3 linked regions of the Styela clava genome follow. The protein of the gene in region 1 interacts with the protein of each later gene in a biochemical or structural test. Links are inferred from orthologs where the notes say so. Each region holds a gene or a part of one and is shown in the gene's direction. Other genes may lie near its edges. The genes, in order: uncharacterized protein LOC120345158, ubiquitin carboxyl-terminal hydrolase 10-like and recombining binding protein suppressor of hairless-like.

What was found.
Region 2: the proteins of uncharacterized protein LOC120345158 (region 1) and ubiquitin carboxyl-terminal hydrolase 10-like form a complex in vitro, tested with the Homo sapiens proteins (2 studies listed by BioGRID, with this or other methods). The link is inferred for Styela clava from reciprocal best matches to the Homo sapiens genes NOTCH1 and USP10.
Region 3: the proteins of uncharacterized protein LOC120345158 (region 1) and recombining binding protein suppressor of hairless-like form a complex in vitro, tested with the Homo sapiens proteins (5 studies listed by BioGRID and IntAct, with this or other methods). The link is inferred for Styela clava from reciprocal best matches to the Homo sapiens genes NOTCH1 and RBPJ.

The regions. Positions count from the first base shown.
Region 1 is NC_135254.1:15,461,980-15,465,739, forward strand, and holds the start of uncharacterized protein LOC120345158, read left to right. Parts: upstream 1-1,393; 5' UTR 1,394-1,570; coding exon 1,571-1,637; intron 1,638-1,943; coding exon 1,944-2,007; intron 2,008-2,582; coding exon 2,583-2,692; intron 2,693-2,928; coding exon 2,929-3,092; intron 3,093-3,760. UniProt on the Homo sapiens protein: Functions as a receptor for membrane-bound ligands Jagged-1 (JAG1), Jagged-2 (JAG2) and Delta-1 (DLL1) to regulate cell-fate determination.
Region 2 is NC_135262.1:10,710,147-10,713,906, reverse strand, and holds the start of ubiquitin carboxyl-terminal hydrolase 10-like, read left to right. Parts: upstream 1-1,128; 5' UTR 1,129-1,242; coding exon 1,243-1,260; intron 1,261-2,235; coding exon 2,236-2,301; intron 2,302-2,655; coding exon 2,656-2,683; intron 2,684-3,760. UniProt on the Homo sapiens protein: Hydrolase that can remove conjugated ubiquitin from target proteins such as p53/TP53, RPS2/us5, RPS3/us3, RPS10/eS10, BECN1, SNX3 and CFTR.
Region 3 is NC_135263.1:7,198,240-7,201,999, forward strand, and holds the start of recombining binding protein suppressor of hairless-like, read left to right. Parts: upstream 1-1,465; 5' UTR 1,466-1,486; intron 1,487-1,670; exon of another isoform or gene 1,671-1,925; 5' UTR 1,926-1,948; coding exon 1,949-2,061; intron 2,062-2,340; coding exon 2,341-2,382; intron 2,383-2,553; coding exon 2,554-2,649; intron 2,650-2,902; coding exon 2,903-3,071; intron 3,072-3,505; coding exon 3,506-3,680; intron 3,681-3,760. UniProt on the Homo sapiens protein: Transcriptional regulator that plays a central role in Notch signaling, a signaling pathway involved in cell-cell communication that regulates a broad spectrum of cell-fate determinations.

The DNA.
Region 1 (3,760 bases):
CTATAGTCTGATAGTAGTCTTTGTACCGTATAATTCTAGTGAAGTAGTATAGAACAAACTAAAATTTTTGTCTAATTTCAAACTTTTTTGTATGGTATTTTCTGTATATTTACCAAAAATCTTTTAGCAAGGCGGCGGTGTGGCTCAACGGGCTAAGCGTTAGGAATACGCTCGCCACCGCACCTCTAATTACTCTGCGTGGGTTCGCAGGTTCGAATCCCATGTAGGGATGGTTATGTGCGAGAGGATTGCTGGACTCCTCGCCGTCGTTGGGTGGTTCACGTAACCGCTGGTCGGTTACGGCTTCCTCCACCACCAAGTCCATGCTTCCGAAGACAAACAATACAGTAAAAACTAATCCCATACCCGACTTGGAATGGTAACCGGACGAGAGGCCGTGGTTCGCCATATGGATAAGCCGTCTTATCGGCTTTCCTCTCCCCCGGGATAAATATGTAAATCCTATCCTATCCTATCCTATCCTTAAAAGCATGCAGTCAGTGAATACTGAAATAAGCTTACTCATAAATAATTAAAAATTTCAAAATATTAAATTAATAATTAGATGAAAAATACTAACCATTGTACTGTTGTAAGCAGTGTAGTAAAGAACTAAGGAATTTCTATTGTGTCTATTGGAGTTGGATGTATTACTGCATTATTAAGAATTTAAACAAGAAGATGTTAATTTTGAATTGAACACCTCCAAATAAATAAAAAAAAAAACTAAAATACCTTATCAAAATATTTAATTATGGATATTCTCAAATAAAGTAAACAATAATATGATTTTTATATCTTCGGATTAACAGCTCAACCAAATTCATCTCTTCATTTTGGAGCCCCACAAGGGAGAAAATCTCACACTCAATACTACTTGATTCATGTATTGATTTTTAGGTTAATCTCTTATTAATCTTATGGATGCAATAATGTCACTGAAAGATTAGTGCCATAACTGTATAATAATATATTATAGAATGTGGGAACTGTTTTAATAATCATTATGCTTTTAAACTGCTAGCTTGATATTTCTAGTTAAGCATTTTGAGCTATAGAAGCAAGACAGATTAGTCTGAGTTACAACACTGCCATATTTCCCAACTTGGGAGGGATTCCTTACCAAGGAGAAATATTGTCACTCGAGGAGGAATTTTGCTTTATATATGCTGTAGTCTTACAAGTATTGTTTAGTTCTTTATCCTTACTGTAGCACTTCTCTTGTGCATAACACTAGCTAAAAATCGATATATGAATACAGTTTTTTTATGTGTAGGGAGAGAGGAACATAGAGTTCCAAATAAGTTGAAGAAAGAAATTGAACGAAAAATATTGGGAAGCACTGGTTTATTTGAACGTCTTGGGGGTAGTAGGCTGTTTTTGATATAATGTATTCAATATTTTACAGATGATAGTTCAGTTAATTCCTTATCCACTGAAATAAAAGAAGGAATGTAATCAGCAATAAAGAGATCAAGTTAATTTATTTAATAAGGTTTTATCATATTTTACTCTTGTGACATACATATTGTATCGTATGTCGAGGAAGTGGATTTAACTTCAACAAAAAATGGATTTACCTCAATTTCGGATTATTTTTCAAGCGGCAATTTTTCTTCCATTTTTATTTGTTTACGGTATGTTATTTATTCTATTGTTTCATACAGTGTTGTAGATTGTTTTAGTCAGATATTTATCTAAAAAAGTCAATTGTGGAATGAAAATTCTCACATGAGTACAGTTGAGCTGTATAGGAGCATTCTTCACAATATTTCACCGAAATAAAATAGGAGATTAAATATTGCTTGATATATGTGATTTCTTCCTTGGTCATATTTTTGAGAAAATTTATGTGTATTGACGCTGTTTTATATTTTAGCGAGAATAATGAAGTTAAATAAAAATGTGCTTGGAATATGTTAATTATATGTTTCATTTTTTAGCATCTGGTTGTTCATCTAATGCGGATTGCACAAGTGGCCAAATATGTATAAGTTCAGTTTGCAGGTAATGTTTGCTACGTTCATTTTCATCTATTTATTGCATTGAGTTTTGTGGGAAAAATTTCGTATGTGCTATTGTGTTCAAACATAATTATGGGAAATTTTTCGTCTCTGTTTATTTGAAGAAATCAACAATTTGTATCCGTATGTTTCAAATACATAAAATAGCTGGTTTTCATTTAAATGATTATCACGTTATTGTATATCTATTAATGTTGAATATCAATTTTATGTTAACAGGATATGTATAGACCATTTAATTACATCCTGATTGCGTCTAGTTATAGGTTGTGCATGTATTACACCAATTAATTTGCAATATTCAGTTTTATATTTATTCTGAATATGCCTAATTTATACTATTTATCCGACTTTGTATTTTTTATAAAACAATTAACGGTACAAATAAAATTGTTTTCGAAACTTCTATTTTAAGAATTTATAGTATATTTTGAAAAAGACCCTGAACTTTGAGGATTTTACTCATTTTTAGGCATTTAGGCTGATTTTATTTTTTTCTTAAATTATTTAATATGAATGAATTTTATTCATAAAACTATCACATTATTTCTTTTATAGTGTATCTCCATGTGCTTCATCACCTTGTGATAATAGCGGAACGTGTGGCGTAGTAGCAACATCTTCCACTGACTATACATGGCAATGTTCTTGCCCATCTACATATATGGGTAAGCATATTTGAGAGTTTTGAAAGATTTAAAGTTATTACCACTTTATTGATGTGCCATCAAAATTTACCGTATTCATTTTTTTCACATCAGTCGGTCATGATTTTCTAATCTGAACTATTTTAAGGCATCTATTAGAGTGTGCCAGTTCCTTATATGGAACATTATTATTTACTGATTGTTTGTAATCATTTCTGGCGAATTCTATAATGAAATTTATTCTGTGTTTTCTTTAGGGACCACATGCAGTGATTACAATTACTGTCATTCAAACCCATGCAATCACGGAACTTGTACTGTCGTGTCAAACAGTTTTGAATGCACTTGCACGGATGGCTATTATGGTGACACGTGTGCCAATGATAAAGATGAATGTTCTGACAATCCTAACCTATGTGCGGTATGCCGATTCATTATATTACTCAATAATAGACATTGTTAATTCTATCTTTGTACCTTGGATACTAAGGCTGTTATCATAATTTTCCATATAGCTTACACTATGAAAAATCCAGCAATGTAACCATCGGAGGCAGTAATTCACAGTTTATTTACAGAAATAAAATTTCCGTTCACCTGGAAATTATATTTTTCGATACTGAGTCAATGATGCACACTATATCATATCCCTACATGTATGATGCAGTGACCGTTTTTTTACTAGTAATAGGGGTGATGCATACTGTGTCACTTATGTAAGCAAGAGTTTAAATGTACAGTGGTTAAACTGGGGTAATATGAGCATCAAAAACTAAAATTAGATTGTGTACTATACTATTAAATTGTTTAGCAGCTTAAAGCTTTTGATTTTATCAAGCTGGTGAAACTTGGTACGAAGTCTTCAACTAGTTCGTTCGTTGTTTAAAAAAAATAATGATATTTAAAAAACCCTGATTTTCATGAATCAGGATAGTAGCATCATCAACATGAGTTATGGCACATATCTTAAAGAAATCATATTCTAGAATATTTTCATCATTATGTGACAGCTCACCCTCATAAATTCCGACAATACCATGCCAATATTTGATTGATTATTGATAGGATTATTTAAAAAACTATATTTTT
Region 2 (3,760 bases), on another chromosome or scaffold:
CATTTACACAACATGATGTAAAGTAGGCAAACAAAACTAGTTACCCCATATTGGTACACAAACTTCTGGAGCGCTATAAAAAGACCTCAGTATCACAAGTGTTGACAAACGTCTACCATGGATGAGCATTAGACCAAGCAATTCAAATTGTCTACCGGTTTCTTTCTGACTGACTGATAGTCATCACTGCCCGTTCGCATTCATTGTTCATACTATATTTATTGCATTGTAAGCTGTAAAGATTGTTCTTTTTTCTGCTCAGACAAAATCATAAGTTCATAACTATGCATGCTGCATGTGCAAAAATATTTTTGTGAAATTTGTACTACTTACTGTGGTAATGAATGTATTCACCGTTTACAATAGAGAATTTTTGACTGAAAATAATTGTACCATGCAAGTATTTATTAAAGTGGAGAGATGGATTCAATTTTAGTTGTGACTAACAAAAAAATGAGGTATCTTTTAAACGATGCGTCTTCATTCCCTTTTCTCTAAATAAGGCCCCTGATATCTGAAGATTTGTAAGGAGTTATTTTTATATCGTACTGGTATCCTCCCAGTTCGACATAGCCTACACAATTTATTTCACCACCTATAGAGGGATGGGATTTAAACCTGAGATGTGTATTCCTAAAAAAAAAAATTTTAGAATGGTGCATATTGGATATATATTTATATATTTGCCATTCATTTTAATTCAGAATCTTTGTTTCATAATATGCCTCAAACTGTTTTTGCACAAATTAAGTTTTACTGATAAAGTGTTGATAAAATATATATCGTATTCTGTTACCTGAATTTCAAGAACATTTTTGCTCTCACAGTGCACACATCTTTACCTCGGCCATTTTTTTTTTGAGATTATCAATCCTGAGATATTGTCTTTTGTGTATTATTGCATTGTCATACAATTATACGTAAAATTACTGTATTGTTTCAAATATCATAAATACGACCAATATGGACATGCTTTGTACCCAGGAGAAAGGTCTTCGTTTTCTATACTATCAAACTCTTTTGAGGATTATAGAAATTGGTATTCTATCTTTCTGACTATCATTCAATGTTCTACATGAGATCTGAATTATGGAACGTGTTATATCTTGTTAATCTTGTCTCTCTCTTAGAAATAATAGCTTCTGTAGATATTATTTTTGTGATACAATGAGTAAAGGGAATAGATAGATATTTGGTGTACGGAAATTGTTTCAAAGAATATTTGTCACAAGCTTGCCGATCATGGCATCAGCACCTCGAGTAAGTTGAATTTATATATTTTAATTTGAAAATTACCATAAATTGTCCTTCATGAACGTAACCCGCAATTGTATAATAGTTTTATTGTTCATGAATTTGTGATGTACTCTATTGACTGTGACTGCAACAGTCAGGCCTTTGGAGTCAAGAGGTCGAAGGTTAACATGTTCTCTCTGAAGTCTGAGCCAGAGTCGCATTCTCTAACTCATCAAAATTATGAATTCCCTGGTATTTGGAGTGAGTCTGAGTTACAATTTCAGACTTTCAATGGTGATAAAATGAGTGAAGTCTTTTAACTCAAAATGTATTGACTCTACTAAGCATTCAAAACAGTCTATTAAATAAAGCTGGTTTGTTGACTCCATAATTTTTGTCATCAGTATTTGTTATCAGAGTCTAAGCTGGATTCGATGTCTGAATGTTTTACAAGTCATTGACAAAAATTTTTTTAATATCTGAAACAAAATTCTTTTGGGAAATTTTTTTATCCCACGCGACAGTCGTATAAACAGTATTCACAAATGCAAAACATTTGATAGAAGTATGTCGCTTAAACTTTTGCTCTTGTATGAAAATAATTATCGAGTTTGTGTCCGTATCTTACAGATCATAAAGCGCACTGTCTATAAATTGCTTAGATTGGGTACTTTTTCATACATAAGGCACATCAGACTATGAGGCACTACAGGTTTTAATATCCATGATCCATACATTAGGCGCATTGGCTGATAAAATTCATGATCAATTTTTAAGAAAAAAAAAGATTTAAAGTGTGTTGTATGGCCCTTAAATTACGGTATCTCTATAACTCTATCCTATTCTATGGTTTCGACTGCATTCAGTTTGTTGCAAGTTAATAAAGTAAGTCGCAATTTAACAATCCAAACTTATTTCACCTATCTATTAATATTGACATGGGTGTTTCTTTGATTATAGTATCATCGAAGTTTTGAATTGTGCAAATTGTATTTTTAGTTCAGTTTTGGGGATTTCACAGAGGAAGAACATAATTGTTATTTAATACAACCTGGATGCGTGGAGGTATTTTTTTATTCTCGTTTTCTATTTCAACAGACAACATATTTTACATTATGATATACCGGCAGTAATATTGATTGAAGCTTCGTATTATATTTGAGAATCTGAAAAAGAATCTTGTACATTGTGTATCTTCTTATAAATCTATTCTACACAAGTGGATCACAATAACTTATTCATATTAGGTCTCACTGTTGATAAGAATCTTGGTATTGAAACAAAATACCCTAATTCAGTTGTATGGTATGAAGAATGTATAAAGTGTGGTATTCACATTTAAGGCTTATTTCTTGCTCATTGGGTGGCATATATATATTGGCATACATCAATCTAATCAAAATTGAAATATTTTTTCAGTTTCCGAATTCATGCAATTATGTAACACGTAAGTGAACGTTTTCTTGATCTTATTTTTTTTTTAATTGAAATAAAATAATGTAGACCCAGAGATTTCGCAATAAATTGAATATTTGAATGAAGCAAAAAACCATATTTGAGGGGGTTCAATTCGTGCGAAAATTCATAATTTCATTATGGAAATAAAGTATTTTTATTAGATATTTCATTAATAGTATTATACTCATGTTTTGGTCTACATTTTGGCTACATTACTTGAGAGTTATTTAAAATAGAGCTTATTTAAAATAAAAAATATTAGAGTAATGTAAGACAAAATTTGAAGAGATGTTTTCCAAAGTTTTGTAATTTGATTTTGTTGTGTGATCTATTTTATTGATATTACAATGTAATTGGATGTAGAGAAGTACCGATACCACTTTTGTCACCGATACCGATCCGATACCAGCAAAAAACGCCGATACCGATACGCCGATACTACAAAAAGGCCGATATTCCGATACCGATACTATGTAATTATTACTTAATTAGGTGTGCTGTATAGGGCAGACGGGTTAAAACAACGGTCTTCGAGCGTTGGTCATAGTACACATTATTTCAGATCGAAAAAAAGATATATCACATAATATGAAGTTAATGTTTGGTGTTTGCTTTAACTGATTAAGATACATTGTACAGTAACGCTAGTAATCTCGGTGTTCAATTAGAAAACTCATAACCCGGAATGTCCAATTTGAATTTAATGTTAATAATATCGCGGCCTTCGAATATCGTTATTCGTGTTTAAAAGAATATCGAATATCACCCACACATTCTAGCGCCTACGTTCAAATTAAAAGCATTTCACAAATATTTTATTTCGTGGCTAATCGTAATCGTCGACGCAATAAGTCAAAGCCAACATGGAAGAATATCAATCAGCACCGACAAGAAGAAGGCCTACCTATAACCGTCGAGGATGTTTTTTTACTTTACTATTTTATAATATTTTACAATTGCTATCATATATTTTGAGACAGTCTGGGGCTAGGCGGTCATGTCAATATATCTATAAAGTAATTGTGTAGTTAAACAAAATTAAAATTAATACCTGCGTAGATGGATA
Region 3 (3,760 bases), on another chromosome or scaffold:
TATTAGTAGTCTTCTATCCAATAGTGTGTTTTCGAATTTTTTCCCCTGTGACCGAAAAGATTCGAAATAGTCAATTATTTCGTATAAAATCACGGCCACACTTCGATATGACATTCGGTACAACTTTTTCAAGATTTGGCTGGAATTTTGCTGGCATTGCGGTGGCGGTACGCTACCGATATTGAGAGAAGTTTACTGGTACCGTACCGGTTCTTATTTTCGGGATATCTTTTATTTTCATTGATCAAAAACAAAATTATTTGAGCCTACGCGATTTTCAAATATACAAAATAGAAAAACTGATATTCATTTAACTTTCGTATGAATAATACATTTTTATTAAAAAAAAAGTGCTGAACATAGATTATTCAAAAATGACCATATCAGGATGCTTCGGAATGTCTTGCAAGTCTCTAGATTCATAAAATTCGAAAAAGATTTTATTTAACCAAATTTTCGCTGTCGACTACGGTACCGGTAGGCTACAACGATACTCTAGATCAGTGGTTCTCAAACTTTTTGAAAAATTATGCATAACGGTCCCCTTTCAATTTTTCTGATGACTCGCAATCCACTAAAGAAATGAAAGCAAATAGCAACGCGGTAGGCTATATTAAGCATTCACCTATTGAATGACATTAAAACAGTTCAATGAGATGTGTGCGCCTGCTTGGCTCCTACTAGTTCTTCTAGCTTGGGTTCTGTTTTGAATAATGCAACTCTCATATCGTGTCTCACGTTCCATTCTGTTTCAACAAGTTGTTTTAATAACGAGTAGCGTATAAAAAGATGTGTCACATTCGTATGTTGTTGCAAAGGGAATAAGCATTTTTAGCGACATCGTGATAGGACGGTGCCACTGTGGTTTTTCTTTTCCTCCAGAACTCGTCACAGCAAAACCAAGATCTTATTTTTGAGGAAACACTGTGCCGTATATGTTTGACTTTGTCTTGCTAGAAATCAGGAAATAACGTATGTTACCAGTATTGTAAAGGTCCACCCTTGATGTCTTGGCTCGGTGGTGTGGCGCATCGAGCTAAGCGTTAGGAATACTCTGGCCACCGCATCTCTGATTACCCTTCGTAGGATCTAGGTTCGAATCCCATGCGGGGATGATCATGTGCGAGAGGATTGCTGGACTCCTCGCTGCCGTAGGGTGGTTCACATAACCGTTGGTCGGTTACGGCTTCCTCCACCATCAAGTCCATGCTTCGAAAACAAATAACTGGCTAACTAATCCCATACCTGACCTCTGGACCTAGACTGGTAACCGGACGAGAGGCCGTGGTTCGTCATATGAATAAGCCGTCTTATCGCCTTTCCTCTCCCCCTAGATAAATAAGTAAATCCTATCCTATCTTTGTATACATACGGTTCCAGTACAGCATTACATTCAGACATTTTACAGACTGTACGTGAGCGACTGAACACTTAGACTTGAAAAGGCTGGCCTGGAACAAAATCAAAATTTCACTTACAGACTAGGGTGAACCTTTCTATCTCTCTATACCTGTACCCTCATTCAGATATTTGAAACACTATGTTAGTATGTAACTATGGTACAGTGGTAACAGACGGAAGAAGTACTCGCATACTGGTAATGCCAGAATGTTGTCTGGTTGTATGTAACATTACAGGTACCGTACTTCTTCTGTCAGTTATCATAGTGTTTCGAATATCTGAATAAGGGTATAGATATAGACAGACAATGTGCCACTGCTGCCAGGCTACATTTTAACCAAATCATATTTTTTTAGCCAAGCCAAAAACTACAAAAAATATTCATTTTTTAGCTGCCAATGAGCATAAGCTAATTTCGTTTAAACTATCATTTCACTTGGTGATTGTATTTGGATATATTCAACAATACCATTTTCTGATTTTTGACACTTGTGATAACACCAATCTTATGTTCTCTTGATTAGACTTTCCTTGATGTCTTAATAGTATGGAACAACAACATAACCATCCAGATGATCGACCATCGCCCCCTCGTAATAATGAAATAGAAGGTGGTAGTAGTAATGCGGCAGAACCACATATTTCAGGAATTATGCGAAGGTCATTTATTTTTTTATTATTACTTTGTGACTTTTATTATATCTATACTTATTAAAGGTAATCATTTATTTTTCTTGGGGCTATGTCTCCAATTAATATCTCTGATAGCAGCCAAATTTATCCAGGCAACAATTTTATGCTTAATAAAAACTTTCAAGTACAAGAATCTATATTCTTTCCCTAGTTTTCTTTTTGACAGCTAGTTTCTTGTCAGAATCTCCATGGTAGCATTCAATATTATGTGTATGCACTAACTGTGGTTCTAATTTTGCTTCTTAGGTGCGCGTTCGACGAAATCCCACCACAACGAAGGCTTACTAGGTTCGTTATCGAGCAGGCTATTATCTTTCAATATTAATAAATGCATGTATACTACTATGCTTCAACAATATTGTATCGTGTGATAAATTTAAAATATGCTTGTGTTGTGTATAATTAACATTGGAATGATATTTAAAACAAAATTTCACATTACATTTTGTGTATTCTCAGGGAAGCTATGAGGAAATATTTGAGTGATAGAACTGACCAAACATTGGTTATTCTTCATGCAAAAGTTGCTCAGAAATCTTATGGAAATGAAAAACGGTATGCTGATATTTTGAAAATATGAACATTAATAATCATAGAACTACACTAAAATATGAAAATGTGTATCGTCTAAAAAAAAACATCTATTTTAGCCATTTTATTAAAATAACCCCCTAAACTGTTAGGCACCATGCTTTTATAAAGAAGTTAGTAGCAATTGTTTGGGCTCTGGGATTTGGCTTTGCAGCTGATAATTTGTTTGTTTGTTTACAACATTTCATATATTTTATTTATAATATACTTCCTGTAGGTTCTTTTGTCCTCCACCTTGCATATATCTGTTTGGAGGGTGGAAACACAATTTAGTTCAATATGAAAAAAATGAGCAGCAACCCCCAGATGACAATAGTCAAGTTCATGCATTTATTGGTATTGGGAGTAGTGAACAAGAGATGCAACAACTCAATTTGGAAGGAAAGGTATTAAACATAGTTTTGTGCTATCAAGTTCTTTTAGAGATCTAGAAAGGAATTATTCTGTGAAATTTTGTTTGGTAGCATAAAATTGTGATTTGAAGGTTTGTGCATTGTTTAATTGTTGACTAAATGGTTAGAAAATACTTGCAATTGTGCCACATGTATTGTCATACATTCAGATTACTGGATGAGAATGTACGCTTTGTCATATGAAAAAGCTATCTGATCAATCATGTCTTTCTATTGGTTTCAGGGTTTACTTGCTTATTTCCTCAATTTTATTCTTGACAGCATGTGGCTGTTGTCTGTTTTTATTCAAATTGTTTCATATTAACATTATGTTGAACATATGCTGAGCTGTGAATTTTTTGCTATTGTTTCATTGTTATACTAGAATTTCAAAAGATTTTTACATTGGATAATTTCATTTTTTTTAGAACTTTTGCACTGCAAAGACATTATATATTTCCGATACAGACAAAAGAAAACATTTTATGTTATCTGTCAAAATGTTTTTTGCCAGTGGAGTTGAAGTTGGTGCATTCAACAGTAGACGTATTAAAGTCATCAGCAAACCATCAAAAAAGAAGCAGTCATTGAAAAATGCGGATTGTGAGTATTATTTTGGTATTCAGGCTACGAATGTACTGTGCCAAAAACAATGCAGTTGAATAATACTGAAGTTAGCTATG